7 separate regions of the Mus musculus genome follow, and all the other regions are reported to be linked to region 1. Evidence: microRNA targets listed by miRTarBase, many of them from high-throughput screens and not tested one by one. Region 1 holds a microRNA gene; each other region holds the end of a gene's coding sequence. Distances are from middle to middle.
What was found. The annotated mature microRNA mmu-miR-181a-5p reads AACAUUCAACGCUGUCGGUGAGU and lies in region 1 at 2,177-2,199, shown strand. An mRNA with a match to its seed (bases 2 to 7 or 8) in the 3' UTR can be bound and repressed. Matches are read on the target gene's strand: a 7mer-m8 pairs with bases 2 to 8, a 7mer-A1 pairs with bases 2 to 7 and ends in A, and an 8mer does both.

Region 2: the mRNA of Idh1 is a reported target of mmu-miR-181a-5p. Seed matches in the 3' UTR shown: 7mer-m8 at 2,978-2,984.
Region 3: the mRNA of Epc1 is a reported target of mmu-miR-181a-5p. Seed matches in the 3' UTR shown: 7mer-A1 at 2,706-2,712.
Region 4: miRTarBase lists Olfm1 as a target of mmu-miR-181a-5p. Seed matches in the 3' UTR shown: 7mer-m8 at 1,341-1,347.
Region 5: the mRNA of Nat8l is a reported target of mmu-miR-181a-5p. Seed matches in the 3' UTR shown: 8mer at 2,359-2,366.
Region 6: the mRNA of Ppip5k2 is a reported target of mmu-miR-181a-5p. Seed matches in the 3' UTR shown: 8mer at 2,024-2,031 and 7mer-A1 at 1,982-1,988.
Region 7: the mRNA of Tsn is a reported target of mmu-miR-181a-5p. Seed matches in the 3' UTR shown: 7mer-m8 at 3,212-3,218.

What each region holds. Positions count from the first base shown.
Region 1 is chr1:137,964,292-137,968,529 of GRCm38, forward strand. Mir181a-1 (microRNA 181a-1) reads left to right here and starts at 2,164; the gene lies at 2,164-2,250. It overlaps Mir181b-1 (microRNA 181b-1), which reads left to right and starts at 2,348; the gene lies at 2,348-2,427.
Region 2 is chr1:65,156,292-65,160,529 of GRCm38, forward strand. It overlaps Idh1 (isocitrate dehydrogenase 1 (NADP+), soluble), which reads right to left. Exons shown (of 9, transcript NM_010497.3): 9 at 2,325-3,264. The coding sequence ends at 3,174. Among named protein-coding and RNA genes, the nearest start is that of Idh1, 21 kb to the right of the region's middle.
Region 3 is chr18:6,433,898-6,438,135 of GRCm38, forward strand. It overlaps Epc1 (enhancer of polycomb homolog 1), which reads right to left. Exons shown (of 14, transcript NM_027497.3): 14 at 2,054-3,410. The coding sequence ends at 3,338. Among named protein-coding and RNA genes, the nearest start is that of Mir1893, 55 kb to the right of the region's middle.
Region 4 is chr2:28,229,064-28,233,301 of GRCm38, forward strand. It overlaps Olfm1 (olfactomedin 1), which reads left to right. Exons shown (of 6, transcript NM_019498.2): 6 at 1-1,673. The coding sequence ends at 665. Among named protein-coding and RNA genes, the nearest start is that of Olfm1, 25 kb to the left of the region's middle.
Region 5 is chr5:33,999,733-34,003,970 of GRCm38, forward strand. Nat8l (N-acetyltransferase 8-like) reads left to right here. Exons shown (of 3, transcript NM_001001985.3): 3 at 1,048-4,238. The coding sequence ends at 1,415. Among named protein-coding and RNA genes, the nearest start is that of Nat8l, 5.9 kb to the left of the region's middle.
Region 6 is chr1:97,704,283-97,708,520 of GRCm38, forward strand. Ppip5k2 (diphosphoinositol pentakisphosphate kinase 2) reads right to left here. Exons shown (of 28, transcript NM_173760.5): 28 at 1,761-3,548. The coding sequence ends at 3,436. Among named protein-coding and RNA genes, the nearest start is that of Macir, 44 kb to the left of the region's middle.
Region 7 is chr1:118,297,312-118,301,549 of GRCm38, forward strand. It overlaps Tsn (translin), which reads right to left. Exons shown (of 6, transcript NM_011650.4): 6 at 1,203-3,726. The coding sequence ends at 3,493. Among named protein-coding and RNA genes, the nearest start is that of Tsn, 12 kb to the right of the region's middle.

The DNA.
Region 1 (4,238 bases):
CTGGTGGCTCTTGATTCAGGAAAAACTGCAAGGAAGCAGATGGTTAACACCAATTTAGAATCCTGGAATCTTAACATTTTCTAAAAATAGTCAAATAAGACTCGACACCTGACAGAAAATGTAAAATTTCAATACTGTCCAACATTAATATTCCAGCCAATTATCAAATTTGGAAAATAACAGTGCAGACAAGGTTAGCTAGTAAAATAGTGATTGGAACCAGCATTGTAGAAAGCCGAGGAAAGGTAAGCTAAATCAGCAAGTAGACATCTTTCCCCTGTAGAATACCGTCCTGAAGTTATTCTCTTACTGTGAGGCAGGTGCAGCAAGAGCAGAGGTGCTTTTCCTCATGGAGAGTGAGTTTAAGTTATTGAGAGGTTTTTCTCATCAAAAACTATAGCCATGAGAAAAGTACATGTTTCATTGGATAAATAGGAGTTAAAATATGTCAGTGATGTGATGTTTAATCTAATTTCTTACTAAACACCAATCACTTTCAATCTCCTAAGAACTTCATGATAGTATTCTCCGTAATTTTATTCTAAGAATTTGAGAAATTTGGACTTATATTTTCTACAGAGAATTTTAGAAGGTTCTGGAAACCCCTCACATTGCGGTGCTTTGCTATTAATTGTGATTCGGATGGAAATTGCTTGATCGTAGTTCCAATTTTGTATATTGAGATAAGGCAATGATCATGGCTTAGAGTCTCAGCTCAGCAGCCTTGAAAAAATGATATCAAAAGCAATGACAGGTATGTATAGAAGCAATGGGATGCTGGCCTGAATATGATAGTGCAGTGGTCAAGCAAGGGAACATGAGCAACATGCATTCTGGTGAAACTGATAACACAGATGGTCCCAGGAAGACTTGCTTTCCTTCCACAAGAGACAGCCCTCTGCAGGAAAGCTATCTCAAAGGAAGCCACACAGGACTATTCAGATTCATCAGTTTTATGTCTTGTAACTATCTGAAGTCTGAATGCATGCCATCAGCAGATCGTTACCTTATCTACCTCAAAATACCAGCCAGAGACACTTGTCCTGTAATCTCTTCGTGTACAAGATAATAAATGATTACAGGTTTAGCATACAATATTCTAAGTAAATAAAATGAATATGTATAAAAATTTGGACTGAATGGTTCACCAATATTTTATTAATAGTTACACACACACACACACACACACACACACACACACACACACACACACACATATATATATATATATATATATATATATATATATATATATATATATACTTATTAAAGCCACTTAAGAGTCTACATAAGTATAATGTAGTAACTTTCTACCCTAGTTTTGAGGAGTACAAAGGGATTTTTGTTTAAGTTGATATTTGAAATCAGTTTTGAAGACATGCTCAATAGAGTTCATACTAACTTGTAAATGCACTTCATTTCAAGAACACCTAGGAAATGGATAGAAGTTACTGCCAGATCCACTCAATCAAAACAAATAACAATATTAGGATATAATAACCAAAGTGAGAGGAGTTGAATTTCAGGCAGTAGGCATAGGTTGTATTAATTTTCATTGTAGTTTAAAGTCTTGTGTCATAAGCAAAGAAAGATGTGCTAAATTGGTTTGATTCCTTGATTGTTTTAAAAATAAGTATGTTTAAAAGAAATTATACTAATTAAAATGCCTATTGTAAAATAAATGCTTATTCCATGCACATTGTAAACATAGAAGTTCAAAATTGTTAGCAATGTAACTTGAGAAAACCTAAGTGGTTTCTGCTTGATTCTGCATGACCTACATGCGTCCTTGCAGTTCTTATTATATACATACCAATATTTAAATTATGAGATACTTAGATACTATTTGTTTTGCTTTTTGATAGTTCCAATTTTGTTGAATGATAAATTCTCCCTGTCTTTAACAGCCTGTAACTAAGCTCCCCCCAAAAGGACTTTTCTTCCCTTTTGAAAAAAAAAAATCCGATTCTTTTCTTTGACACAGCACAAAGTGGAGGTTTGCCAAGCTCTGGGCTGGAGGAATCCTGCTTCTTTTCTTCTGTACTCTTTTGAAATGGTTTAAAATGTGTGACAGGTTTGGTTAAAGGATTGGGCTTTCCTCTGCCTCCCTCCTGCTCCAGACTCCCACAGATACTGTTTAAATCAGCACATCTCTGCCTCACAGGTTGCTTCAGTGAACATTCAACGCTGTCGGTGAGTTTGGAATTCAAATAAAAACCATCGACCGTTGATTGTACCCTATAGCTAACCATCATCTACTCCATGGCCCTCTGCGTTTGCTGAAGACAGAACCGCAAAGCAGGACCCGACAGGATTCTCCCCGCCTCTTCAGAGACTATGTTTACAAAGGTCACAATCAACATTCATTGCTGTCGGTGGGTTGAACTGTGTAGAAAAGCTCACTGAACAATGAATGCAACTGTGGCCCCGCTTTTTGCTGTCGCAATCAACAGACGTTCCCTCCCTAATAGAGGTCCTGGGGGTATTAACGCCGTTTCTCGGTTTAACTTCTGCTGTCTGAACTTTCAGGTTTGTTTATTCAATTCATATCAAGTCCTATTTCTGTGAGGAAGTCACTAATTTATATAAGAATACTGCTTTTCTATACTCCTGGGGGTTACAAATGGGGCATTTCTTAAAAATGCTAAAGTGTTGGATGCCCAGAATCAACTGTGTAGCCCTGGGTTGGCACGGCTTCCTGCTCTGCTGTGCTGGTGGGAGGAAGAACCAAAGAAATATCTTACTTCCTGCCCCGTTATCCGTCACATTGTTACACAGAAAATAACCATCCCCTCATCTTTCATTAGATTTCTTGGTCAAAATGGGCTTGAAGCAAGAGGGAATTCTTTTGCTCTGCATAAAGAATCGCTGAAATGGCTCTACTCTCTATGGAATTGGTAGGCAGAGGGATAGTACCTCAATAGCCAAGTACTTTGTTATCCAGGGGCTCATTATAATCATGCAATAGATTTGTTTCCCCAGAGAGACCTCAGATTTAAGATTATAGTTCATCATCTTTATTTACCCTCTACTTTCTTCTGAAATGGTAGACTTGATTCCAGGGACTGTCTTCAAGCAAGTGTGTGTGTGTGTGTGTGTGTGTGTGTGTGTGTGTGTGTGTGTGTGTGTTTCCTAACTAGTTTGGCTCTATAATTTCAAAAAGAACATCTGTCATTAAGGTTCATCACCTCCAATAGTAAGTACAGTGGTTGGAGTTAATATTTATAACAGGATGTTCAGCATACAGTGTGTACATGGTACCTAGTACATGGTACCTAATAGATTTTAATTCGTTGGGAAAAAATCTATCAAACATATTGTCCTTTCTCTCTCTTGATCAGTTTATTATGATATACATTCAACTCCCACTACAGAAATCCATTCCTGGGACCTTGCTCTAGTGTTCAGAATATTCATTCCCACAGTATTTTACGTAGTTAGTTCACAAGTGCCTGCCTTGCTTGGGGCATCTCTATCTATCATAACTCCTTTCTCCCACCGTCTGTTTCGTTCCATTTAACGTATGACAAGGCTCTAATCTCAACAAAAAACAAGAAGTTCAAAAAAAAGTTTCTATTCCTGCTTCATTCACTGAACAGCCCCCTTCTTTTTTCTATCTTAAAAAGCTATGAGTTTGGAAACGTCACTTAATTAGTAACCTGCAGAAGAGTCTCTATTTGTGTGTTCTCTCATTACTTCTCTTCAGCCCACAATTTGACATCTTGAAACATTGCTCTCTCCCAATTGTGCAGATTTTTTTTTAATGGAAGCTGGTCTTGGTGAAACCAAATCACCAGTATTATTCCACCCCTGGTAGCAAACTTCCTACTCTTCTTCCATAAAATCATTCCCTTTAAGTTCCATATTTAAGTGGATCCTGCGGCACTGGCCTCTATTTCATTGATTATAAATTCATCCAGGTATATATTTGTTGATAAACTTTTCTAAGCCTGGATAGTATTTCATTTCATATGTGTATTTGTGTGTGTATGTGTGTGTGTGTGTATTCGTATATATGCTAAGGTAATGGAGATATGTAGATATATAGGTATATGTGTGTGTATACATATATGTGTATATATATATGTGTGTGTGTGTGTGTGTATACCTATGAAAACATCCATAATGTCAGAATATTTTCTCTACTCATTCATTGATTGAAGGACACTTTGTTACCAAAGCTTGGCTATTATCAATAATGTTGAAATGAAGAGAGTACAAATACCTCTTTGATATAC
Region 2 (4,238 bases), 73 Mb from region 1:
CTCCCAAGTGTGCCTGGCTCTCCTAATAGTTTCAGCTAGAAACAATATGCTTTTCCCCCCATTGCCCTAGGGTCATCTGGGGAAACTGATGGACACTAGAACCTTCTCCCACTTGAGAATCGGTCAGATGGTTGTCTGTAACTTGTGCTGTCTGGGATGAAGTGCCCATGCCGCATGGGCCTCCTCTGCTTTGTGAGGTTTTCTTGGCAAGAGAGCTGGTCCGTGACTGTAGGTTTAGATTGGAGTTACCATGTGGGTAGCACGGAGAAACTAGTTCAGATGTGCATACTGCATCACTGCCTGCTTGGATTCTGGAAGGCCTCACGTATAGGCAGTGTCTACAGCCTGAGCTCAAGCTTGCCAGGAGGGCAGGCCAGAAAATGAGAGACAGCCACTCCACGCATTGACTTTTTTGTTCTACATTTTTAAATTCCCCCCTTTTATTTGGAGGGTTAGTGGTGGAGGGTCATGCATGTGTTAGAGTCAGGGGACAACTGTCAGCATCTCTCCTTCCAACATTTAGGTACCAGAAGGCAATCTGAAGTTGTCAAGCTTGGTGGCAGGTGCTTTTATTGGGTGAACCGTGTCACTGGTTCTAATGGACTTTTGAGGTAGGAGAGTCCAAATTCGCAGAGCCTCCTCCACTGAAGGTGCTGGGATGAGAAGAGCCTTCTCTTAGTTTTGAGAAAGAAGCCAGGAAGGCTTCCTACTGCTCCCTCACCACCCACATCTCTTGCTTATAGAGAAACCTACTCAACTTGTGTTTATGCATACATGTATGGGCATATACACGTGTGCATGGGTAAGCCAGAGGTCAGCCTTGGATGATTGGTATTCCTTATGCAGCATCCATCTCTCTCTCCTCCCTCCCCCTCTTTCTTTCTTTTTCCTTTCCTTTCCCCTTCCTTCCTTCCTTCCTTCCTTCCTTCCTTCCTTTTCTTCCTTTCTTTTTTTCTCTTTCTTTCTTCTCTTTCTTCCTCTCTCTTTCTTCCTCTCTCTTTCTTTCTTTCTTTCTTTCTTTCTTTCTTTCTTTCTTTCTTTCTTTCTTTTTCTTTCTTTCTTTCTTCTTTCTTTCTGTGTATTTGGGGATTGACTTCATGTCTTCTTGCAAACACTTTACTAACTGAACTGTGTCTCCAGCCCCATCCACCCCTTCTAGGATCTCAGAATTCTATCCCATTTTCTTGAGTGCACCTGCCAGTTGGATCTTCAACGTTTTTCAATTAATGTGTTAACAGTTGCCTCCTAAGCAGTCTTCCTCCCTCACCAGTGTCTGCTATCCTTTCCCCCCTTCACCAAACATCATTTATAAGAGTGCTGTTTTTTTTTTTAAGATTTATTTATTTATTATATGTAAGTACACTGTAACTGTCTTCAGACACTCCAGAAGAGGGTGTCAGATCTTGTTACAGATGGTTGTGAGCCACCATGTGGTTGCTGGGATTTGAACTCAGGACCTTTGGAAGAGCAGTTAGTGCTCTTAACCACTGAGCCATCTCTCCAGCCCCAAGAGTGCTGTTTTTAAGACTGAAAACATATCATGTCTTTCCCTTCTTAGAAATCTTCACTGTCTCCTTATTAACTTACAGGGCAATGCCTACATTCTTTAGTTTATGCAGTGTCTGCTGATAGTTTATTAGGCCCTTAGGTCTGTCCTTTTTCCTTACACTGGAAGCAGGATCTTGCAGCACTACTCTGTGCTTCCAGAGCAGATTCCCCTCACTGTCTGTTAATTCATGTACCTCACTCCTCAGCAAACGTTTTTGTTTGTTTTGGTGTTTTTGGAGACAGGGTTTTTCTGTGTAGCCTTGGGCATCCTGGAACTCCCTCTGTAGACCAGGCTGGCTTGGAACTCAGAGATCTGCCTGCCTCTGCCTCCCAAGTGCTGAGATCACAGATACGCACCACAGCTGTCTCACAGTAGACTTCTTAAGAGAAAAAATATTTTCAAATCAAATTCCCATGGCTAGGATATAATCTAGTGTCTGTGTCTGTGTTACTTTTCAACTTGACAGAGCCCAGAATCACCTGGGATATGGCCTCTAAGTATATACACTAGGGATTCTCTGATTTCTGTTAAGGGCTAGGGGAAGCGCCATCTTGGTTTCTAGGCTGAGCACTAGCATGCATTCCTTGTTCTCTACTTCAGGACCAGCTGCTTCAAGCTCCTGCTACCCTGACCTCCCAGCTACACTGGGAGTGTACCTTGAACTGTTGCCAAAACTAACCCTTTCTCCTTTAAAATGCTTCTATCTAGGTATCTTATTACAGTAATAGGAAAAGAAATGAAAAACACTTTTTAAATAAAAACACATAATAAACACTTCAAAGAAGAGTCATTAGTACTTCATTTTAATTAAAATTAACAGTTTAGAAGGACTAGACTGGAATAGTGTTTAATATCAACTTCTGGGAAAAAAAAGTCACATTTATATAAAAGAAATGCAGCAGGTCAGCAGAAATCCAAACGGTACAGCTCCCATTATTGCCCATGGGTGAAATGTACTGCTTGGGGTAGGATAATACTTAGGCTGGGTCACAGGAGAAGAGAAATCAAAGAGCAGAATCCTCCAGTCTGCATTTATTCTAGACTTGGAATTCTCCAGTGGTCTTAAAATATAACTAGTATATTGGACACATACATGCTCTTTATAAACACGTCTGCCATGCATTTTAGCTACACACATCCTATCTGTTCCAGTCTTATGTGAGCTTACTGTATAGCTCTCCCACACACAGTACAACATTTGCGTACAAAGGCCCCAGTGTTCACACTCATGGACAACAGGGGAAGTGAGTTTCTCTTTTCCCCTTATGGGGAACCATACTGTAGCTATTGTTCACCCTTGGAGCACTTCTGATTTTGGTCATTTACATTAGAGCATGAGAAAACATGACAGTTAATTGTGAACAGGTACTAACATAATTCCTACACTGCTACTACACAATAAAATACAATTAAAAAAATTTCCCCACCACATTCATTAAGGTGGCAATAACTGTATGAAAAAGAAAAAAGACTGTAAACATATATAAAAGTTCAACTTTGTCTTCTAAACAAATTACAAAATGATTTTTGTTTTTAATCTTGAGTGTTACTAAAAAAAAAAAAAAAATACGTAAACCTGTGGACCTAGTTACCGCAAAGACTCATTCTAAGCCCAGGTTTGACCTTAAAGTTTGGCCTGAGCTAATTTGGCCTTCAAGTTTTCTCCAAGTTTGTCCATAAACTCAAATGTATTCAAGTAGTCAGAACGTTGTACACTGGTGGGAGAAAAAAGAAAGAAATTTAGTTTTTTCTCTGACAAGGCAGGAGGTAATTAAAAACAAATCACAGTAATGCTACTCACACTTCTAGAAGAGAACTCATTAATGTTAAAAAGCTACAAATCTGTGGGCCATGACTGAGGTTCCTGGTGCTGCCTGTGCTCAGGGTAGCCTGCAGTGGGGTCTCATGTGCACACATTCACAGGAGACCCTGCTGTACGGCTCTGAACTACCAGGAGCTTTAGGTCAGGCTAATGCCAATGTTACTGAAACCATTCCACTTAAAGTTTGTTAATAAATGCCCGAAGAGTAGGTTTCAAAACCACTGTGCTGATGTTGCAAATGTATCTTTGCTGGAAATCTAAGAAACGTGTAGTAAACCGACTGTAACAGATCTCTGAGGTGTACTGGTGGGGAAATGGTATTAATTTACATTTAAGTAAGAGTTCATTTTTTGTTTGTTTTGTTTAAAATTTTAAACTTTTGTACATTTTAATTGAAATATAATTACATTACTTTCCTCTGGTCCTTCCCTCTCTTCATTCTCAAGTCCCAGCTCTTTCCATGCCCCTCCACTCTCTAATCCATAGTCTTCTTCCCCATTTATTATTGTTACATACGTATGTATATGTAGGCACAAACATGCAAGCATAACCTGATGAGTCCATTTTTGTTGTCATGTGTTTATGGTTTTGGGGCTGACTTTATAATTTCTCCTTGAGAGTGGATTCTGAGTAACAGTTGATCTAGCTAGGACACTGGCTCCCAGGTCCTCAAACAAGTCCTGGCACCACAGGGACACTGGTAGGTACTTTAGGGAGGGGCTACCCCATCTGGATTGCTTCTACTCATACTTAGGCTGTTTACTCAATGGGAAGTTAAAGAAAACAAGTGTCCTTCAGTGTCAATTTTCTCTAAAGATTTATTTTAACTAAGTTACATGCGTGTCTGTGTCTCTCTGTGTGTGTCTG
Region 3 (4,238 bases), not on the chromosome of region 1:
TGTGTTATTCTGATTTCAAGTTAGTAACTTTAGTACGATTGTGCACTACTTAGGCTCACCCATTCTGTCTGTCATTCAGTGCAAAGCCTACGATGTAAGCAGCACAGAGGCTGGGCTTTGCCTGCTCGACCCGAGCATCTGCTCTAGCACCTGACAGATAATACACATTTCTTAGTGTGATGGGCTGTTTGTCTATTCCTGCGATGCTGTTATTTTCAAACTAAAATTCAAAACCAAAATCCAACCAACCAACCAACCATAAACCAAAATCACAACCCTTATAATTTGGAGTTCAAAAGAACATTTTTTTTTTTTTCCAACTAGGTAAAAAGCCAGTGTCTGTCCAGTGCCTGGAGGTCTTGTTCATGAATTGGACCAAAGTTTAGAGCAATAGTGACCTCTGAACTTACCTTGGTAACCATTATTATAGTTACCAAGGAAACTGTGTGCATTGGTCTACCCATAAAATAGTTGTAGACAAACACAACCATCTTTGGAGTCCAGCAGGTGTGACTTTAAGCCTGGGACTGTCAGCAACTGTGGCCTTTCTTCACTTTCCTGAGGCCTTCTTGTTTAAGCTGCTGTTTATATCATGTCCTTGATTTCAGTACTGCAACATGGCAGCAAAAGTATGGGAAACATAGTTTAGGAGTCCCCCAAATACAGGTACCTCTTTTTAAAAAATGTGTATTCCTTTGAATGTTTCCTGAGTCCCGTTGTGGTGTAACAGAAAAGCTGCTGCATGGACCAGGACCTGCCAGCCAGCACAGCTGCATATCAACCTCTCCAAGAGCATTTACGAATTTGCCTGCAGATAGAGCAGGCAAACTTCTGAGGACCTTGGCCTCATTCTCACTGCAGGGTGCACTTCAGAAACTCGGATCCTGAATTGTCATTTATGACAGCAGTTTAAGTGTTTAGTTGCACTGACTAGACACTGGAAAGGAAAGACAAATCTCGTTTCCTCCTTAAAATGTGAGTGGGAATTAGTTCATCACATTAGTTGTCTACTTTGAGACGAGATAAAATGAACTCCAACCTGCCTTGCCACCACTGCTGCTTACTCTCCTGTCCCTTGCTTTCTGTAACCTCAAGTCTCCAGCTCCACCCTGGCCGGGTCAACCTGCTCAGTTAAAACACTTTGAACTAAGTTCTGTCTGTCTGTCCATGTGGAGGGCACCCTCCTGGTGTCCCTTAGAAGAGGCCCGCCCACCTTGGCTTCTCAGTCTCTCATTGCTTGCAGTCTTTGGTCTGAGCAGGCTGGTCTGGCTGACCAGTGAGCCCAGAGGCTGTACCACCCTCCACCTCCTTTCTTCAGTCCTGGGATGACAAGCATCGGTCACTATTGGCTTTTACTGAGTTCTGGGAATCAACTCTGGCCCTCATTGCCCCTCTGAAGCCTTTCTTAACCCTTTCTTCTCATGTGCCCTACTAAACAGATTAACTATTTTCTTTCTTTATTTTTTATTTTAACTTTTTTCTGTTTTAGAAACAGGGTTTCTGTACATATCCTGGGCTGGCCTCGAACTCAGAGACCCACCTGTCTTTGTTGAGATTATCGCCCCAGGCCTGGCCAGTAAGCAACTTTTAATGGCCCTCTAAGCACAGAGACAGAGCCAAGTACTTCACAAAGTCCCTGGGGTAACTGTGGCCGTCAACTGCTAAAGACTAGTCTGGATACTGAGGCAGAGTGGGACTCTTCCTTTCCACGCTCGGTTCTGTATGGAAGGCAGAGTCCCCAGAGTCCTCAATGCTCCTCTGCCCAACAGCCTCTGTTGCTCAGGTCTCTGACCCAGACCGACTGGGAGCATCCTTGGCTCGCTGCGCTTCTTCAGCGACCCTGCCTTTTTGCTTTCCATCTTATTTACTCTCACCTCCATGAGAATATAAGTCAGTACAGGGCTTTCCTTCACTGTTGTAGACAGACATGTCAAAATAATCACTGAGAACATGAACTTGAAGTTCTTCCTTGCTGTTTCTAGCCAAGCCCCTATACTGAAACAAAGTCACACAAGTTCTGGGGTTGAAAACAAAAGGCAAAGACCACTGCACGTTAGTTTGTCAACATGTAATGCCCTGGGTTTATTTTGTGAGAATTCTATCACAATGTTTCCAGGTGGGATTAAAAACCTTAAGGATAACGTATGCCATTGGACTGGGCATTCAGACTTCGGTACTAACAAAGCAGTAGTAGTCTGGTAAGTACCATTCTCTTCACAGAAGAGAGGTCAAATGTTTCCAAAGGAAGGCACCCGATATTTGTGGTTCTGGCCTCGCAGCCTTCTGGAGAATCTTAAAAGGAAAAAAGCTGGCTGGCTGTTTTACAAACTGGAATGACGATACACGGACAGCAATTACCGCATTCTTCTCCCCTATATCCTTTCTGTAAGAACAAGTAAAGAATGAAGTCTTTAAACAATTCCACAATATAAAAGTACATCTTTTTGTGCTAAAAAAAAAAAAGGGCAAGACAACATAAACTCCAGTTGTAAGGACTCCGTTTGTGTACTTGATTTAACACTTTTTGGTGTGGAAGGAAATGGGACGACTGGGCTGTTTGTAGGGCAGCAACATAACATTAGTGCTTTAAGTACCAGGGCCGCCCAAGCTTGCAGACAGGCGGGGACGGGAGAATTCAAGAGACTTCATTTTTAGCTTGTTGCGCGTCCTAATGCTAGTAGACCAGGAAGATCCCCATTGAACAGTACATTCCCCGTTTTAAAAAACTGATGCCTTTTTTTTTTTGTAAAATTCTGTATGTATGTCACCATTTTTTTTTCACATGATACACAGAAAACTCAAGGACCCAGAGGGAACCAAGTTATGTTATACCATTTACAAAATACCAAGGAGTCCACAGCTACCTAACACATTTACTACAGCACAGGAACCAATGAGGGTACAGTGTACAAAACCTGTAAACACGGCACAATAAATAGAGACAGCAGGTTCCGCACCATGCACATGATGTGATGACACCAGCTACACAATCTCACAGCTCACACTCTTGTTGCAGTTACCCCCCACCCCCCGCCCCCAAGTGCAAAGCATCACAAATGAACAGTTCTGTATTCAAGTAACATATATACAAGGGTATTACAAATATGCAGTACTGTACAGATAATTGCTGTATTCTTAATTTACAGATGTTGATTTTTTCCTATTAACAATAAGAAAAGAAAGGTTGAAGCACGAGAGATTCGAGAGCTGCGCAGTGCTGCCGAGTCCCCACAGCTGCCACGGAACCGCACAAGTGCTCTCCATACTCCCTGCGTTCCAACGCTCTGATGCATAGCACCTGACCATGTCCCCAGGATGCAGTCCTGCTCCCAGGAAGCTACGTCACCTCCATTGCTACTGTGTTGTCTGCTATGTTGTTCAGTGCTGGCTTTTCCGATTCATGATTTTCCCTGTTGGGATAAAAGTTCTTTTAGTCAACAGTCATGTACAAACTAAGCAAATGAAGACCATCGTTCCTTTAAAAGCCTTAGTCATCTTTAACAATAGGAAGAAACATCACTATGGGGCGATGGGACAAAGGATTGTGAATTTTTGTAATTATGAAAATCATGCAAGCAGAAATCAGGTAAGTCAGGGGTCAACAGTCAACTCCATGCCAACTGCACTGACAAAACCCTGTCCAGGAACCCAACTGACCAAAGATCCACACCCCCAACACCAAAACCCTGTCCAGGAACCCAACTGACCAAAGATCCACACCCCTACACCAATACGTCTCACGCTCTGAAAGTTACAATTGCAGCTGCTTTCTCTTCTTACACTTATCTACTTAGTATGTATGTCCATGCACACATGTACTCATGTAAGTGTCTCAGCTCAATTCTTGGGGAGTGAGTTCTTTTCTTCCACCACGCAGGTTCTGGGATCAAACTTGGCTTGTTGGGCTTGGTGGCAAGTGCCTTTACTCACGGAGCCATCGTGGTAGGCCCCAACCTTTATCATCGTTTTGGGATGTGAGTGTGTGTGTGTGTGCACATGGAGGCCAGAGGTGGACGGCAAGTGCCTTTCTTCTATCCATCTTCACCTTTGTTTTTGAGAAAACCTGAAGTTCATGGAGTTGAGGATCTGCCTGTGCCACTGTTTCCTGTAACCCAACAGTGTAAGCACTGCAGGCACCCAACACTACATGGAGCGTCTTTAAAACCGTGGGCTATGAATTCAGGTGCTCACGCTGTACTGGCAAGCACTGAGTCATTTTCTCAGGCTTGAACTCTTTT
Region 4 (4,238 bases), not on the chromosome of region 1:
TGGATGGTTATCACAACAACCGCTTCGTCCGTGAGTACAAGTCCATGGTGGACTTCATGAACACGGACAACTTTACCTCTCACCGTCTCCCACACCCCTGGTCAGGTACGGGCCAGGTGGTCTACAATGGCTCCATCTATTTCAACAAATTCCAGAGTCACATTATCATTAGGTTTGACCTGAAGACAGAGACGATTCTGAAGACGCGCAGCCTGGACTATGCTGGCTACAACAATATGTATCACTATGCCTGGGGCGGCCACTCAGACATCGACCTCATGGTGGACGAGAATGGGCTCTGGGCTGTCTATGCCACAAACCAGAACGCAGGCAACATTGTCATCAGCAAGCTGGATCCTGTCTCACTGCAGATCCTCCAGACCTGGAACACCAGCTACCCCAAGCGCAGTGCCGGTGAGGCCTTCATCATCTGCGGCACCCTCTATGTCACCAACGGTTACTCGGGGGGCACCAAGGTCCACTATGCCTACCAAACCAACGCCTCGACCTACGAGTACATTGACATCCCCTTCCAGAACAAATACTCTCACATCTCCATGCTGGACTACAACCCTAAAGACCGCGCGCTGTACGCCTGGAACAATGGCCATCAGACCCTCTATAATGTCACCCTCTTCCATGTCATCCGCTCCGATGAGTTGTAGCTCCCACTTTTCCAGAAGCCAAGGGTCCAAGTCCTCACCCCGAGGACATTTCCATGAAACAGCTGCCAAATGATTCCAAGAATACTAACAGTCCTGATTTTGAGAAATCAGCGCAATTTTGACGCCGAGAGATGGTGTCCTCTCTGTGTTCCTCCTACTCCTGCAGGTGGGCCGCAGATTTCAGAAGAAACCGCCATGTATGTGGATGGAACTGCAGCCCAAGGCTCCTTGGCTGTCCCCATCCCACCCCATCCCTCTCTGGTCCAATAACTCAAAGAAGCAAGGCGATGACTGTTGGCCCCTCTCACCCAAGAACAACCCACTGTTAGGATTGCATGGACATTTCCTTAGGTTGTGCCCAGCGAGATGATGTGATGGCCATTCTCCCCAACCAGCTCCCCCAGCCCCCGAGGCACTCGCTCAGTGTAGGCTGCTTCAGCCCACACATATCGCAGCTGCCTTTTTCTTGACCGTGTTGTTGTCTCTTAGATTAACTGTGCTGAGACTCCCGGTAGCTCATGGACCTGTGTCTAGTACTTTCCCGAAGCGATGGTGGGTGTGCGTAGGTGAAGTTGCTGTACCCACGTTGTTGAACTTGCGTACCCTGTAGCTAGATCGTGAGGTGTCCGTCTGTTATCCCCCAAGGTGGTAACTCCGTGTGTTCAATTTATGCAATGAATGTTGTCATGCAATGCTGTAGTTTGGATTGATAAGTGGATGGTTTCTGTTTCTAAAAAGAAAAAAAAAATCAGTGTTCGCCCTTATAGGAGACATAGTCAAGTTCATGTTGATAATAACCCAGTGGAACTCTTATCTTGTCAAGGTATCTGAATTGTGTAACCATGGATGGGAAGGACGCATCGTGGGAAACTTCCGTTTCCTACAGGAAGGAACTCCCCAAGGGCAGCCATGTGTGGAAAGATCATTTTTTAAAGAAATAAATAAGTCAAAGAGGGCAACTTTGTACTGTTCAGTTATCTAAGGAACAATAAAGATATTAGGAGATAACCTCGATTTGCTTATTGTCTGTGGCAAGAGGGACATATGTGATGGGCAACCCTGGATGTCGTAGCTACCCTCTAAGTCATGAGAACTCAGAAGGGAAAGAGGACAGTGGATTATGACCTCCTACTTCCCAAAGCCAAAAAGTGCTTGGCATTCCCCCGACCTAGGGCTGCCCCAGAGACCCCACCCTTAATTCCTTCACCCCCTTCTCTGACTCTTCTTCCCTGGAGCAGGTACCCACCCATGTCAGACAGCTCTGGCGCCATTGGTATATGTCAGCCGAGACCTCACTGATGCTGATAAGACCATGATGGTGAACCCACCCCACTTCCAACCCAGCCTTTCGCCAAGGGCTGCCACAGACCTAGGGAGGAGGTGCCCAGGGACCCCAAGATATGTAGACCCTAGCAATTCCAAAGGACTCAACATGCAGATAACATCCTAGAACACCCAAGTAGAGCAGAGGTTCTTGTAGAACAAGTCACAGCCTCAGGTTGAGAGCCTTCCTAGAATGTCCTGGAACTTAATGCCAACCAGAGAGGTGATGGCATGAGAGGGGCTCATGTGTGATGTGACTGGCATCAGATTTGATGGGTGGTTGCTGTCTATGTTCTACGTGTGGGTTTGGTATGAACTATCTCCTCTCACCTCACCTCCACAGTTGGGCATCTGTCACCCTACTCAGGGTGGACACTGGTGACATGGGTCAGGTTATGTGTTTCCCCAATCAGTGAGTAAACTAGTCTCCCACATTCCCATCCATGACCTGGGACAGCAGCTGGTTGGTCTCCAAGCAAGACATTGATGGTGCTCAGGACAAGCTGATACCCATGATGTGTGGTTGTACTGTAGAACTGAGAGTCTGAGGATGTCTAAGGACAGACAGTAGTCCTGGTGCTCACACAGAACTTGGCGTCACTTCCATGGTGAGCAACTAGGAACAAAGTAGCTGTGGGCATTTGGGGACTGTGTCCAGCTTGGGCATAGGAGGCTCTCTTATTATCTAGTCCTTGACAATAGTTAGAGCCACAGGACAGTGGTGGGAAGGGGTCTGGGAGGGTTCTGAGCACAGATCAGTCAGGCCTGATGTGGAGTTCCCAGCCGCTGCAACTCAGGGGGCCACAACCTGGATCCCAGTGCCCTTCCCCAGTGGGCTGCTGATACCGAGGGCCCATCTGGTGTGTCCAACCTTTTGACATTTTGACACAATGTTAACTACAAGGTTCAAGATACAAAAAAGAAATTGCAAAAATATCTCTTAATATTTGAAGTAAATTCCTGATGTTTGTTTTGGCCACATTCATAGCTGTTCTCCGCTGAATGTAACCAAACTCAACCTGCAGGTTGGACAGCTTTCTGTAAGAGACAGGGCCTGCTTTGGCCCTCTCTCACTGGGATCACCAGGCACAGAGCTCTAGCATGCCCCTGACCACCTCTCTTCTGGCCGCAGATCCCTCCCACCACTGCACAAACATCTTAGAGGCCTCCCCCCACACATACACCTGCTAGAGAATCTTCCTCCCACAGGCTCTGCATCCTTGTGACCAATCTCATCCAACATATTCTGGGATCTGAGAGAAGTAGTTCAAGTATCCAAAATAGGTGAGTCTCCAAATGCAAACCAAAAAGAAAAAAAGAAAGGGGGAAGGAGAGGGAGAGGGGGAGGGGGAGGAGGAGGGAGAGAGAGAAAAACAAAAGAAAAAAAAAGACGAAAGAAGAAATCTTTTCTTGCTTTTTCTTCTGCCTAGAGGTTCCCAGGATTCATTCACTGGGGTGATCAGAGGAAGGAGAAAAGAGGGGGCGGTCTGGGGAAAGCTAATCCTCATTACAGTCAGCTGCAAGGCTCCCTGAGAAGTCATGGCTGAGGCCACAGAGTGGAGGAGCTTCCAGTTAAAACTTTCAGAGGTGGGAGGCATTTTCATACTTTCATGAATTATACGTTTACAAATTATCTTGGGGTGAGACAGCATGCAGAACCCCACCCCATGAGACACATAGGGTGCTTGTTCATCTAAAAGCCCAAGTTTCAATGAAGCGATCACTCAAGCTTCGAGGCCTCTCTCCGATCCCTGATTTGATGGAGTCTTGTATGCACACCATCAGCTGGAGCGGTGATCACCGATAGTAACTGTGGGCTGATTTCTGTGTAATCTCTCCTTAATGACACCGTTTTTAAAAATCAGAAGCAAGCAAATGCCCATTTGTGAGTCACCAGAAGACAAAATAAGGACATGACGAGCCCACATGGATCTGCTGTCCCAGACAGGGTATTTGCTAAGGAAAATATACTGCTAGGAGATTAAATACCTAAGAAAAAATGGCTTCATCCGAAGAGCAAATAAAACAGCTCCTTGCCACTAAATCTCCCGTATTCCAATAACTGGATATATCAGTCAATAACCTATCGTCTGTGGATGAATTTTCTTTATTAAAAGTTTGGCCTGGAATCAAAATCCTGCAGTTCTTTGAGATGCTCAGAGATCAGAGCATGAAACTCCAGGTTCTGTTCACAGATGGGCAAGGCGTTCCCCTTGCCCTTCTCTACAGGGGTTCCGTTCCATAGCAAGC
Region 5 (4,238 bases), not on the chromosome of region 1:
GCAGCTGGTCAGAGAGCATATGGGCATATGGGGTTGGGAAAGTCCTAGAGGCTCTGGGACCAGGGCCCTCCATGAGTTGGCAACTTTCTCTGCTACGCTGGTGAAGGGTGGGCAGGCAGCACCCTCAGCAGTAGAGCAGAGTCTGCCCTGAAGGCACCGGCTTCCCCAGAGGTAAGAAGTGTAGGGAGGAGTGCTTCCTCCTGCTGGGTTAGGGCAGATGCAGGTGCAGAGCTTTTGGCATAAGCCCTCTGAAGGAGGCTGGAGGTGGAGTGGGTAAGGCCAAGGGAGGCCAGATCTCCCACAGCAAGTCACTCTCTTGGCTTGGCCAGACGCTCTCTCCCCCCTACCATCCTTTAGCCTTCATCTTTCAGAAAGGTCTCAGGGTGTCCCCTTGACCATGTACCTCTAGTTCAGGAAGGTGACTGGATTCCCTGTGTCCCATGCCCGTCAGAATTCCTCCCATCCAAACTCCTTGTTCTCGCCCCCTCCCTTCTTGTAAGGGCTGGCTAGCCTGGTGTCAGGGTTACTGGGTTTGGGGTGTGTGTGGCTGTCTGTGGTCCCTCGCTGGGTCAGAAAACATTCTTCTGGGTTCTCATTCAGTTATATCCCTGCAAAGATACTGGGGGAGGAGTATGGCAGACCAAGGGCTGGGATTCAGAGTATGTCAGCAAGACATGCTCTGCCCTGTGGCCCTAGCTGTGGTTGTCTGTGGGTTTTCCTGTGGTCTGGGGGTAGGAATTTGCTTTGTCAAGGGCTGTGCAGCTCCTAGGCACCTCCAACTACTATTCTGGCCAGGACAATAGAGACTTGGGCTGGAGCTGATTGTGTCTGCTTGTGAGGTGGGATCCTGTCATGCAAAGTTGGGCAGGTTTGCCCGGACTGAGGCTTATGGAGTGTCTCGTGGCCTCCCCTGGTGTCCAAAAGAGCTGAAAGGTGAGGATTGAGCATCATTGTGATACCCTGACTTGGCACTCAGCTGGAATGGGCAGCTCGAAAGTCTCTTCAGTCTTCCATGCAGAATATCCCTGATTGTCATGTCCTTCCTAGGTTCCTGTTTCTGGGTGGCTGTGCTGGACGGCAACGTTGTGGGCATCGTGGCCGCACGGGCCCATGAGGAGGACAACACAGTGGAGCTGCTCCGCATGTCCGTGGACTCGCGTTTCCGCGGAAAAGGCATCGCCAAGGCTCTGGGCAGGAGGGTGTTGGAGTTTGCCATGCTGCACAACTACTCTGCAGTGGTACTGGGCACCACAGCCGTTAAGGTGGCCGCCCACAAGCTCTATGAGTCACTGGGCTTCAGACACATGGGCGCGAGTGATCACTACGTGCTGCCTGGCATGACCCTCTCGCTGGCCGAGCGCCTCTTCTTCCAGGTCCGCTACCACCGCTACCGCCTGCAGCTGCGCGAGGAGTGACCACCACCACCTGCCCACCACCCTGTCTGCCCCCGTCCACCTCTGCCCTCTTGCTCACTGCCTAGTGCGGCCCTGCTTTCCAATGCTCACCTTGGCATTTGTTTGGGTTTTCCTTTTTCAGCATCATGCTGGTTCATCACCTGGCTGGTTCTGGGGCCACAGGGTCCCAGTCCAGAGTGCTCATCTGCAACACTCTGGTGGGGTGGATTGTCTGCAGCCATGGCCCTTGCCTCCCCAGCCCATCAGAGTGGCTCATCATGCCTTGAAGAGCAGCATTGTGGACCATCTGAACTATCCACAAAGCTGCCCAGCCTGCCTCCATCAGGGAAGGACTAGCCTTGCCCATCAAGCACAGAACCTCTACAACAACCCCCCCCCCCCCAAGGAGCAGAACCCTGGCCCCCAGCCAGGCTAAGGCTCAACTATTGGCCTCTGGAAGAGTGGTCTGCTGGGCTGGCCAGCCACTGCCCCATGGGAGGCTGAGCTGGTCCCAGGCCCTGCTTTGCCCTGTGCATGCTAAGGACATGGCCTGGCTGCAGCATGCCGCATGCCACAGCCCCCTGCCCCACTATCCTGCCCAGCCTGGACCTCAGGCCTGAGCTGGTGAGCTCCCTTGTCCTGTCCTGAGCTGGCCTCTGGAGGGCCTACCTGCCTGACCCTGTCTACTCTCTGGTGAGGCCTGGCCTGGCCTAACCTGGCTCTATCCACTCCTGCTTTGCTTCGAAATCATCTTACCTCTTTCCCTTTTTGGTCCCCGTGCCTCCTTGCTCTGGCTGACTTGGCTGGTCACCCGGGTTTGGTTCCTGTAGCAATCCACTGCACAGCATGGTGGGGATTTCATGGGGGTGGGGGGGACACCTCCCCCAACACCTGTTAGACCAGGTGGCCACCTCCCAGCTGCCTGAGGTCCTGTGGCCTCATGCTGTTTGTGGGGTCTGCCCTGTGAATGTAACTAGCCCAGGCTGTTGTTGGCAATGCCTGCCACAGCTTCTCCCAGCCTGAAACAACCCATTCTCTAATAAGTTACGTAGACAGAATAGCACTCTGCATGACTTTAATTACTGGGACAAAATGGTAGTTTGAGCCTCCAGACACACATCTGTGTGGTGCTAGCATACGCATGGTCTCTGGCCCCATTTGATGGGGGTGGGTGGCCGGGTAGGTGGAAGATTTCAGTTTGAAGTATGGAAGGAGACTCTAATTTAGTGTAAACACCCCTAAAGTGCCCTCACAACACAGTCTGTGAGGCTCAGGTTGCCCCTTGATTCCTTGTATGCAGGATTGAGGGGACTGGAGGGTCCTAAAGCCTCATAGGAAGGGCTGGGCACTGCCTCGGGGGAAGAAGCTGGTGGTTGGGGTGGGTCCAGGTATCACCCACTACAGACTACTCTGCTAGGTCAACTGTTCCTGGCCTCTCCTTTTTGAGGTTCTACTTCAGATCCAGCCTAGATGGGGGTGGGTATGGCCTAGGACAGGGAAAGGCAGTAGCTGGCAGTGGTCATGAGGCCAGCTGAAACTTGGACTTAGCTTTAGTGCAGGGGGTGCATAAAGGCCCGTCCACATTCCTCTGTGTGGGGCTTGGGGTGAGGAGTGGCAGGCTAGGTAGACCATAGAGCTGGGCCCCTGGCACCAAGGCTACATTATTAGAAAGGCTCTTTAGAGTTAATGAGTTGGTGGAACAAGCCCAGCTTCCTGAGGGGCCTTTTGTCCTGTTAGCAATTGAGGCATTTGCAGAACACTGTACAGACCCCGCTCTCCCCTGTACATTCCTCCCTGGTGGTGCCCGGTCCCCGCTTGGGGATGGGAGTTTTGTAGACTGTACAGAAATTGGCACCCTATTTTCTTGCAGCTCTCAGATTTTGTTAATCTGGATTATACAGACAGATGTAAAGTGTTTTAGCAAAATGGAAAACAAACAGTTGTGCCTTTTTTCTCTTTTCTGTTTGGATTGGTCTCGGCTCGGGGCTAGTCTTAGTTGTTGTGGGGGTATAGGGACTGCTGGTGTCTGAGGCCTGTGGGGTCAGAGACTGCTGGTGGGTCTGAGGCCTGGGTAGGCCTAAGTGGGAGCCAGGTCTACTGGACACCACCAGCTGCCAAGACTTCTCTGATCCTGTGCCTTTGGGGCCTGCAGTCTGGGGTTGGAAGGTGTGGCAGGGCACTGGGATCACTTGGGCCAGGGCTGAGCTTGGGGATCCTGTAGCCACCCATGTCTCCTTGATACTGACCTGGGATGAGCTCATAGTAGATTCCTCCAGCCTAGGAGCCTGGGAGAAGCCGTGGCCCTTCCAGCCTCTTGGCACCTTTCCAAGGGGATCTCTCCCTGCTGAACAACCCATGGATAAAGGGAAGTTTGCTGGGCTCTCAAGTATTCGTTGCCTTCTGTTGCTGCCAACACTTGGTAGAGATTCCAGGAATGGATGGTGGGGTAGGCTCCAGCTGCATCAGGATGGAGCCTCACCAGGCAGTATGTAGCTTGGCAGGGCCTGAGGCCCTGGAGACATACCTGTGTCCCTGGGCTGGCGGAAGCTGAGTGTGCTGATGGCTGCGCCTGACTGTGTCCACTCCATCATCCCAGCCAGAGCTCTGAGTGCTCTGCACATGTGCACTGATGTGAATTTTCTGTTTGTTGAGATTCTGATGTTTCTTCTACCTCTGTGGAGGCCCTCCTCTCTGCTCCACTTGGTGGCCATGTGCTTGGTGCCCCTCCTCTGAGTTGGCTGGCCATCTCCCCCTCCCTTGAGCCTCCAAGCACCTGAGGTGGCCAGCAGCTGTACTCTGGGCCTGGGAAGGCCCAGGGAAGGCCAGCCTGGGGTCTGACTCTCT
Region 6 (4,238 bases), 40 Mb from region 1:
CTTTCCCCACGCATGTCACCATGTCAACGGATGTAGTCATTATTCAAGTCTTGTTTAGGCCACAGTATTGCTGAATCTTCATGTTCCCTGGTCAGGCTTCCTGCTCTTCCAGTCTTTCTGCCCTCTCTTCTGCAATGTCCCCTCAACCTCAGGCGTGTAGGGGGTTGCATTGTTAACTTAATGCTTATTAATTGGCATCTGGCACTCCACAGTCAGTTGTTCTCTGCATTAGGACCCGATGTAGATTTCCGTAACAATCTCCATATACTACAATAAGAATCTGCTGATGAGGTAAGAGAGCTGTACTTATCTGTTGGGAAAATGATAAATATTTAGACTGTATTTATAAAGGGGCCCATGACATCTGCAGTCACAGGTAGGTAACTTGGTTCCTAGTACTAGGCAGGACTTCCCTTCAGTGAGTGGAGCCTCAAGTCCAACTACACAGCTATTGGTTTCTCCCAAGATAGAAGTACTACTGTTGTACTTGCTGGGGTAGTCACTGTTGTGATTCATGAGTTTATAGCTGGTGAGGACTAACATCTTACCTACCTTGGCAGCTTTTGTAGAACCTTTGGATACTGTTATCTCTAGTCCCCAGGGTGATTCCCTCAAGTCCTATGTCCAACATGTGTGCTATCTTCAGCAATAGATCCTTCAGGTTCTGGGAGGCAACCTAGGGCAATAGTAATGCTTTGGCAATCTCTTGGTCTACTCGGACCAACAACTTGAGAATAAGCTTTCCATTCCTGGAACTGTTTGTTTGTTTGTTTGTTTTGTTGTTGTTGTAGTTAGACAGGCTATGGCTTTTGGAGGAAGTATTATTACCCCAGGTGGCATAAGGCATAATTCAATTTAAGTTTTTTATACATATTTATACTTAAACAGAAAATAATGGCTTCCTATGGCCTTTTCAAACATCCTTACTGCTATTTACGCTCCCCTCTCCTTCTCCCTCTGTACAAGTCCGGCCTCCAGTTAAGGGCTCCCAACAGTCCTGAGTTTTACATCAGATTCCTCTTGAAACTTTAAACTTTCTTCATTGCTGTCACCTATCGTGTTTTTTGAGCTGTACAAATATCGAGCACAGGGCCACGTGCTCTGCCACATCACAGTTTCCTTTCTGTCTCAATTTTCTGTTTGTCTTAAAATGTCCAGTATACTTCTTTTTAATACATGATAGCTGTGTATTAACAAATTCCCTCTTGAGTTTATTAGTCATACAGAATGGACTATGTACCTCATTAAAAGCAGGCCAGCAGGGCCTGCCAACAGGCTATTAGGCCTGAGATATAGGATTCCTGAGGGTTAAGGAATGAATGATAAATTATCAAGACTAACAAACAGCTCAGGGTGACTTGACAATTCCTCAAGCTTGACTTCCTCATTTCTTTGCTGGCTGGAAAAGTGGGCAGCAAAAAATAAAACCAAACAAACCCAACCCCAAAATAAATAAACAAATAAAAAATAAACATGTTTTAGCACTTAAAAAACTCTCAAACCCCACATCTCCTGAGTACTGGTAGAAACAGCTATTTCAGACAAACTTCCATAAATGGTGGTGATGTTATTTTGCTGTTATGAAATTGACTCTCTGATAGTGTGTTTTAAAAAACAATTCTATGATTCTTGCAAAGAGATGAGCATACAAAGCAACAGTATTGATTGGGGTGAATAAGGTAAAGCCGAAATTACTGATTAATACTGAGGAAAGCGAGTGCTAACATACTTCATAAGGCAGAGGACAATACACTGCTATGTGTATGCTCACTCATGAGTTTTATTGAATAGTACTTAATGTAAAATGCTGCTGGGGATTTTCTATTTCAAAACATAAAAGAAAGAACACAAATAAAATGCTTTAAATTCAAGTCACTCTTATTCTAAAAAGAATTTTAATTCATTCCACTTAAAAAATAAAAGTAGTCTCCTCACCCCCCATGAGTACATTAATCACATATTCACACACAGAGAACATACATACATTCGATTGTTTACAAGATTTACCACCATATAATCCATTTACATTCAAGTGAAGTATATATGTACTTATTTATTTGTATATATTTGGAGCTTCTGTATCTCATCCCTTTTTAAACAACCAAGATAATATAATACGCCTATTCTCTAGAAGTCAGTTCATGTAAGATTATTTAAGGTTAGAAGTCTCTTTTGAAGAATTACACTAACTATACAATAAGGGTCCAGTACTTCTAAACATAAGCTTGAAGCTACAGCTTACTACCTTAAGTTGCATTATAGCCAATGTTTGAGATTTTTATTTAGCAGGTTGTTTAGTTTGTGAGTAATTTAAAATATTTCAAACAATTACTTGTGCATCAGGGAGAAAGAGCACCAAGGAGAATGATGTCCTTTTATTTAAATATTAGACGAAATTACAATAGTCATCTCCATCTTTCTTCCAAATCTCATCATTTGTAAACACCATTTACTTACTACAAATGTTCAATCTTTTGAGTTTTCTTGGTGAAATCATCAAATACACTGGACATAAGAATGGAAACACAAGAACTATACCCTGGATGACACTTATGAACAGCAGAACTCGCATCATAGACCTGAGTCCATAGGTCTCAAGAAAAACTCAGAAAATCACGTGTAAGATTTACAAATTTAGCAGTTACAGTTCATAAAAAGAAACTCTAAAAAATTGCCTCTCTTGCTAATACAAAAAAAAAAAAAAACCTTTTCTTGGTGAACCAAGAAATTTTTCTTGATGGTAAAGATATGTATAAAGAAAATATTTTCTACAGATTAACTTGTAAATTTATGTGTATAAAGGTATAGTTCTCCCACCTGCATTTGTAATATTTTAAATAATTCACAATAAAAAATTCAAAGCACAAATTGAAAAAATAATTCATGGTCTATATAATCCAGTCAATAAATATTGCAGCATATGTTACTGTAGCAATGACAAAAACATTGTAATGTAAATGGTCAACGAGATCTCTTTGGAAATGTACTTTTTAAAAAAAGTCATCAACACATGATCTTTGCCTGTCCAATCCCACTCGCTAAGTGTAATTCTGTAGAAATGCATGTGTGTAGAGGCACCTGAAGAGAGTGCACTTTGGTACCAGTCAGCCGGGTTCCTGTGTCCTTTGTCTCTGCCACAGGCACATGGGAATCATCACAGTGACAGCAATAGCAGTTGTCATGAATTTCCTTACACAAAGCGGACAGACATTCTTTTGAACATTTCTAGATCCTGCCAGAGCTCCTTGTTTGAATAAAAACAGGAGGTCCTCTAGCTTTCGAGGTGTTTAAAGAAATACACAGATGTATAAAGTAAAGCATGATAACACATGAATCACTGGCTCTGACCAGCTTCAGTCAAGGTTTCTTAGACATTCTTTTTGCTAAGCAACAAGTCCCTTTATAAGCATGGAAACTTTCGGTTCTGGTGTGTGCTCATCTTTTCTTCCCAGTGCTTTTCTTGGGTTCATGCCCCTCGGTTTTGCTATTTATGCTCTTCTTCCGAGATGAGGTATGGGGAGCCATTGCCTGAGATGGTCCGCCGGCTGCTATACAAACAGAAGAAAGAACCAGTGCCGTTGGGATTTGCACCAATCAACAGGGTTAAGAGAACGCTGGTGGGCGATGTGGCTGTATGCGCTACAGTTATGATAAAACATTGCAGGCTTTCAATATGACACTAATGTTTTACAAGTCAACACAAATACAGAAAAGTAACGACAAACAGGCTGTGTTCCTAAAACCAGCTTTTTATAGTTCACTCTATATTCTTCATAGCAAATATTCATTTCCATCATAAGTACAATCCATTCTATTAATCTCATTCATCCTTGTTGCCAGGTCTTTCCCCTTAGCTCCAGATATAGAAATACAACTGCCAATTAGAACTGTCTCTGCTTATATTTGAAAGGAAATTTAAATGAAACTTGCTTAAAACTGGATGTAATTCCCTCTCTAGGAACCATATCCTCTTATGCCTTCCATCTCATTCCTATGCCAAGATGGAAGGCTGGAAGGCCAGAAGCCCTCCCTCTCAACTCAGAACCAACATCAGAGTCAGGCCTAGTCAGAGAGCTAATCTCAGTGTAGTTACAGCTCTACTTTACTGTACAGGCACATGTCTGTCAGGCTGACATTTCTTCATATGACCCACAATTGCTTGGCCACAGACAGAAAGAACAACCTTAACGATGGTGTTATCAGGATAGCAGAAAGTGACAGAATCGGACAGTTACTGG
Region 7 (4,238 bases), 20 Mb from region 1:
TTAACTGCTTCAAACTTCGGAAGATGGAGTCCTCAGCTGCTACATACCCTACTGGCTCTGGCCCATATGAATCAAATCATTGATTCATACTCATGTGAGGTATCTAACAGTGATGACTCCCCTTTTTATATAAGTAGTCAGCTTATGATTCAAGGACCTGCAGAGGGGATGCACTCACCAGGAGGGACTGAAGCTAGCAGTTGCTGCCAGAGATGCCTAAGGGTCTTCCACCTTAGTCAGCCCTTCCAGAAATACTCTGGAGGACCCAACTAGAGACATGTCTTTTAACTGATCTTTTAGACGTGTCCAGTCAAATTGACAACCAAGATTAACTGTCACGGCCACTGTAGTAAGCACTGCATGAATAAAATCAATTTAAAGGCAGTTGAGCCACCAGACTGACATGGGTGCTGGGAACCCAACTCAGAGCCTCTGAAAGCTATACATGCTCTTAACTGCTGAGCCATCTCTCCAGCTGCCCTACCTAATTTTCTAAAATTGGAAAACAGTGTTGAGGCTGGGGCTATACATCAATTGCTAAAACGTTTGCCCTGGACTTGATCCCTGGCATGGCATAAACCAGGTATCATGGAACACACAACCTGGGCACTCGTGGTAGAGGGAGGAGGATCAGAAGTCCAAAATCACCCTCAACTACACAGCAAATTGAAGGCCAGCCTGGGCTACAGGAGACCCTGTCTCAAAAAATAAATGACTAATTCTGGGAGCTGTGTACCTCAGTGGTAGAATGCATGTTTAGCATATGTGATGATCTGAGCTTAATCCATGGGTCAGCAAAACAAAAGGTATACTAAAACCAGAGGCAATATTTCTCAACATCTTCAATTCAAACACCTTTAATTTCTTCATGGAGGTCGATCATGCAGACAGTATCTGCATTTACATCAAAGCCCTGGGAGTGACTAGTGTCTTGGTTGGTGTCACCCTTACACAACAGCTCAGGCTTACCACTCCAGGCTTCTTCAGCCAGCAAGGAACATGAAATTTTTTTTTTTGAGACAGGGTTTCTCTGTGTAGCCCTGGCTGTCCTGGAACTTACTCTGTAGACCAGGCTGACCTCGAACTCAGAAATCCACCTGCCTCTACCAAGTGCTGGAATTAAAGGTGTGGGCCACTACTGGCCAGCAGAACATGAACAATTTGATTCTCCATAGAGAAGAAGAGTTCAAACAGCAGCACACTACTTTACAAAGAGACCAAAAACAGTTTTATTGCTTTACAAGCCAGTAACGAACACAACTAATTATCAACATGACACTTCTAAACTCTCAAGTAGAATCACAACACTAGAACATACTCCTTCACTTTTAAGTGCAATTTGTTCATTGCATCTGAAACTGAATTTCAAGAGTTATGTATGGTGGCAATGACCTAGAGTCCCAGCTGCTCACAGGCTGAGGCAAGAGGAGAGCTTCAGCCCAGGAGGTTGAGACCAGCCTAGACAACACTACAGGCAGGACATTACAACCTCTGTCTCTAAAGAGGAAAATATGAAACTTTTGACAAGAGCTTTAATGATGTCTAGCAGAACCCACAAGAACAGGCAAGAGCCTGTGAAACTACCATGCAACTGAAAAGCCTTCTACCTTCCCAGACACTTTCAAGAGTCTAATCCTGTACTCAGGAAACGGAAACAGAGGTGCGAGTTCCAGGCCAGCCTGGACTACCAGCAAAACCCTGTCTCAAATGGTAAACTAACAAAAATTGCCTAATACCTTACTCTAACCCTGCAAAAAGAACCATGAAGAAAGCTAGTCTACATGTCCAACAATATACAGCAATCACAGCTCATTCCTCAGGATGGGAAATTAGAGTCAGCCTCCTGCCACCCCGCTCGCTGCACAACGAAGGGTTGAACCCAAGGCCTCAAACATGCGAGGGAAAGTCACTGAAACATACCCCCAGCCTTTTTGGTTGGTGTTTTTTGTTTTTTGCTTGTGTGTGTGTGTGGGGGTGGGTGGTCTTTTTTTTTTTTTTTTTTTTTTTTTTTTGTCACAGGATCTCACTCAGTTAGACAGGCTACCCCTGAAGCCTTGAATTTGCCAATCTCCTGCCTCAGCCTCCTGTGTACCTGGGAGCACAAGCCTGCACTTTCAGGCCCCACTTTCCAGTTAGTCTCTAACCATGGCCTGATAAAAGCCAGTGTCAAAGATCCCACTGCACAAACATGAAGCCCAAAATGCTACCAAGAAAGAAAGGGTGACACCCCTGAGTACTTCCTATTACACTAGTAATGGCAGCAGCTTCCTGTCAGAGGGTGCAAAAAAAAAAAAAACCTACACTATTTTTGTTGGGTTTTTTTTTTCTTTTTTTCTTTCAGTTTTTTGAAGTCCTAGGATGGACCATTGCCTCACATTGCCAAGCAAGTCTATCACTAAAAGCTACATCACCAGCCTTGACTTTAATAATTTCAGTTCTACCCCAAGAATGGCCACATATGAATTCTTATGCGATCTGAAAAGGAGAGGGCATAGAGGAGCCCAAAGTTTACATGACTACCCTAAACTATACATTTTAAATGTACTGACAGAATCACAACCTTCAATTTCTTATTCCAAAAAATACTGCCAATCACATGAATTTTTTAAAGCCAAATTTTACTTTCTTCTACTCCAAACAGCACTGATGTCTCTAAGAAGCCACTCCTCAGTACAGATAAGGAGTGAATACATGAGGATGGCTTTCTACTCCCAGACCAGTTCTAGCTGGCTGCTGAGAAAAGGTCTCCATGTTTACAAATACAGCACACAGGTGTTAGCTCTAGGCAGGTGTAAAGACTAACTGCTACGGCAGCCGGGGTGTAAGGTGATGTCAGAAAACAGATGCTCTAACCCAACACAAGACATCACAACGCTTTTCCAGAGGCTCTTTCTACCTTGACCTTGCTGGGTTGAACTGTACAGTTTCATCTGCTCTGTTTTAGTAGCAGGGACAGAGTCGGGGCCTCAAATTTCCTAGGCAAAAAATTCAACTCACTTACAAGACTTAAGATGGGCAAAATAAAGTTCCCTTGCTTGTCAACCATTTTATTCTCACACTGCATCCAGGCTATAGCTGGAAATGGAGGACTAATCTGGACCTAGAAAACATCATTGTTTACTTGTGGGAGAAATTACAAACAAGACAACAAACCTGTCAGTCAGTACATCAACAGTCAGGTAAGCAAGAAAGGACTTTTACCAAGGGACCAACATTCACACTGTTGACAAAATGGTAATACGACGACAACACGGCACGGCAAGTGCACTGAAAATCAACAAAAAAACCCCATCCGTGGAAAGGTTTCTTTTTCTTTTTTTTTTTTTTGTTTAGATCCAAAAAGTATTTCAATTCTGACACTCACAGCACACAGCTGGTTACGAAAATAAAGCGCAGTGTTTAGCAACTGGTGTGCTAACTACAGGAAGAGGCACTGAGCTAGCCCTCCCTGGCAACTGCGGCGCCAGCAAGGCCAGCCCCAGGGAAAAGCTCCTATTTTTCACCACAAGCCGCTGCTGTCTCCTTATTGAAGCCTCGGATGGAAAGGTCATAGACCACCTCCTCTACTTTCTTCACATCGTACTTCAAGCCGTCGTAGCGCTTCCTCAGGGAGTCATTTTTCAGATTGAGAAGACGAAAACCAGAATCCAGCTCATTGATGAAAGTAGAAATGTGAAGGGGCCGAGAGTAGTCTCCAGCAGTGACACTGTTGACAGACAGCCTCGACTGCACAGGGAGAAAGAAATCGGATACATCACTATGTGGGTTCTCCCTCCACACCTTCCCACTAATCACAGCTAGAAGCTCAAATTGAAACAGCTACACTGAACTGATGTTCTGTATTCAAGATGCTTACATGTAAGCACATTAAAACAGAAGGTTCTCTGAAACAAACGCCACCAGAACTGAGGCAATGTCTGCTACACGTGATGGACATAATGAGCATCTTCTAAAATCTCTAATGACTTTAGCTGGCTATTATGAAATAAAGTTATAGTAAATTAAGCAAATGTCATTTTTACAGCTCAATAGCTACTGTATAGAACAGAAAACCTGTCACAACAATCACAGGTATCTTTTCAAACATAGGCCACATGATTACCTATCTAATAATACACTACTGAGAGTTCACCTGGCCACCTAGAATTAATAAGACAGACAGGTAAGAAGTCAAAATTAAGTCAGCTCAACCGTCTTGAAGGCCGGGTAGGATTTGAAGACCCAACTCACAAGATCTC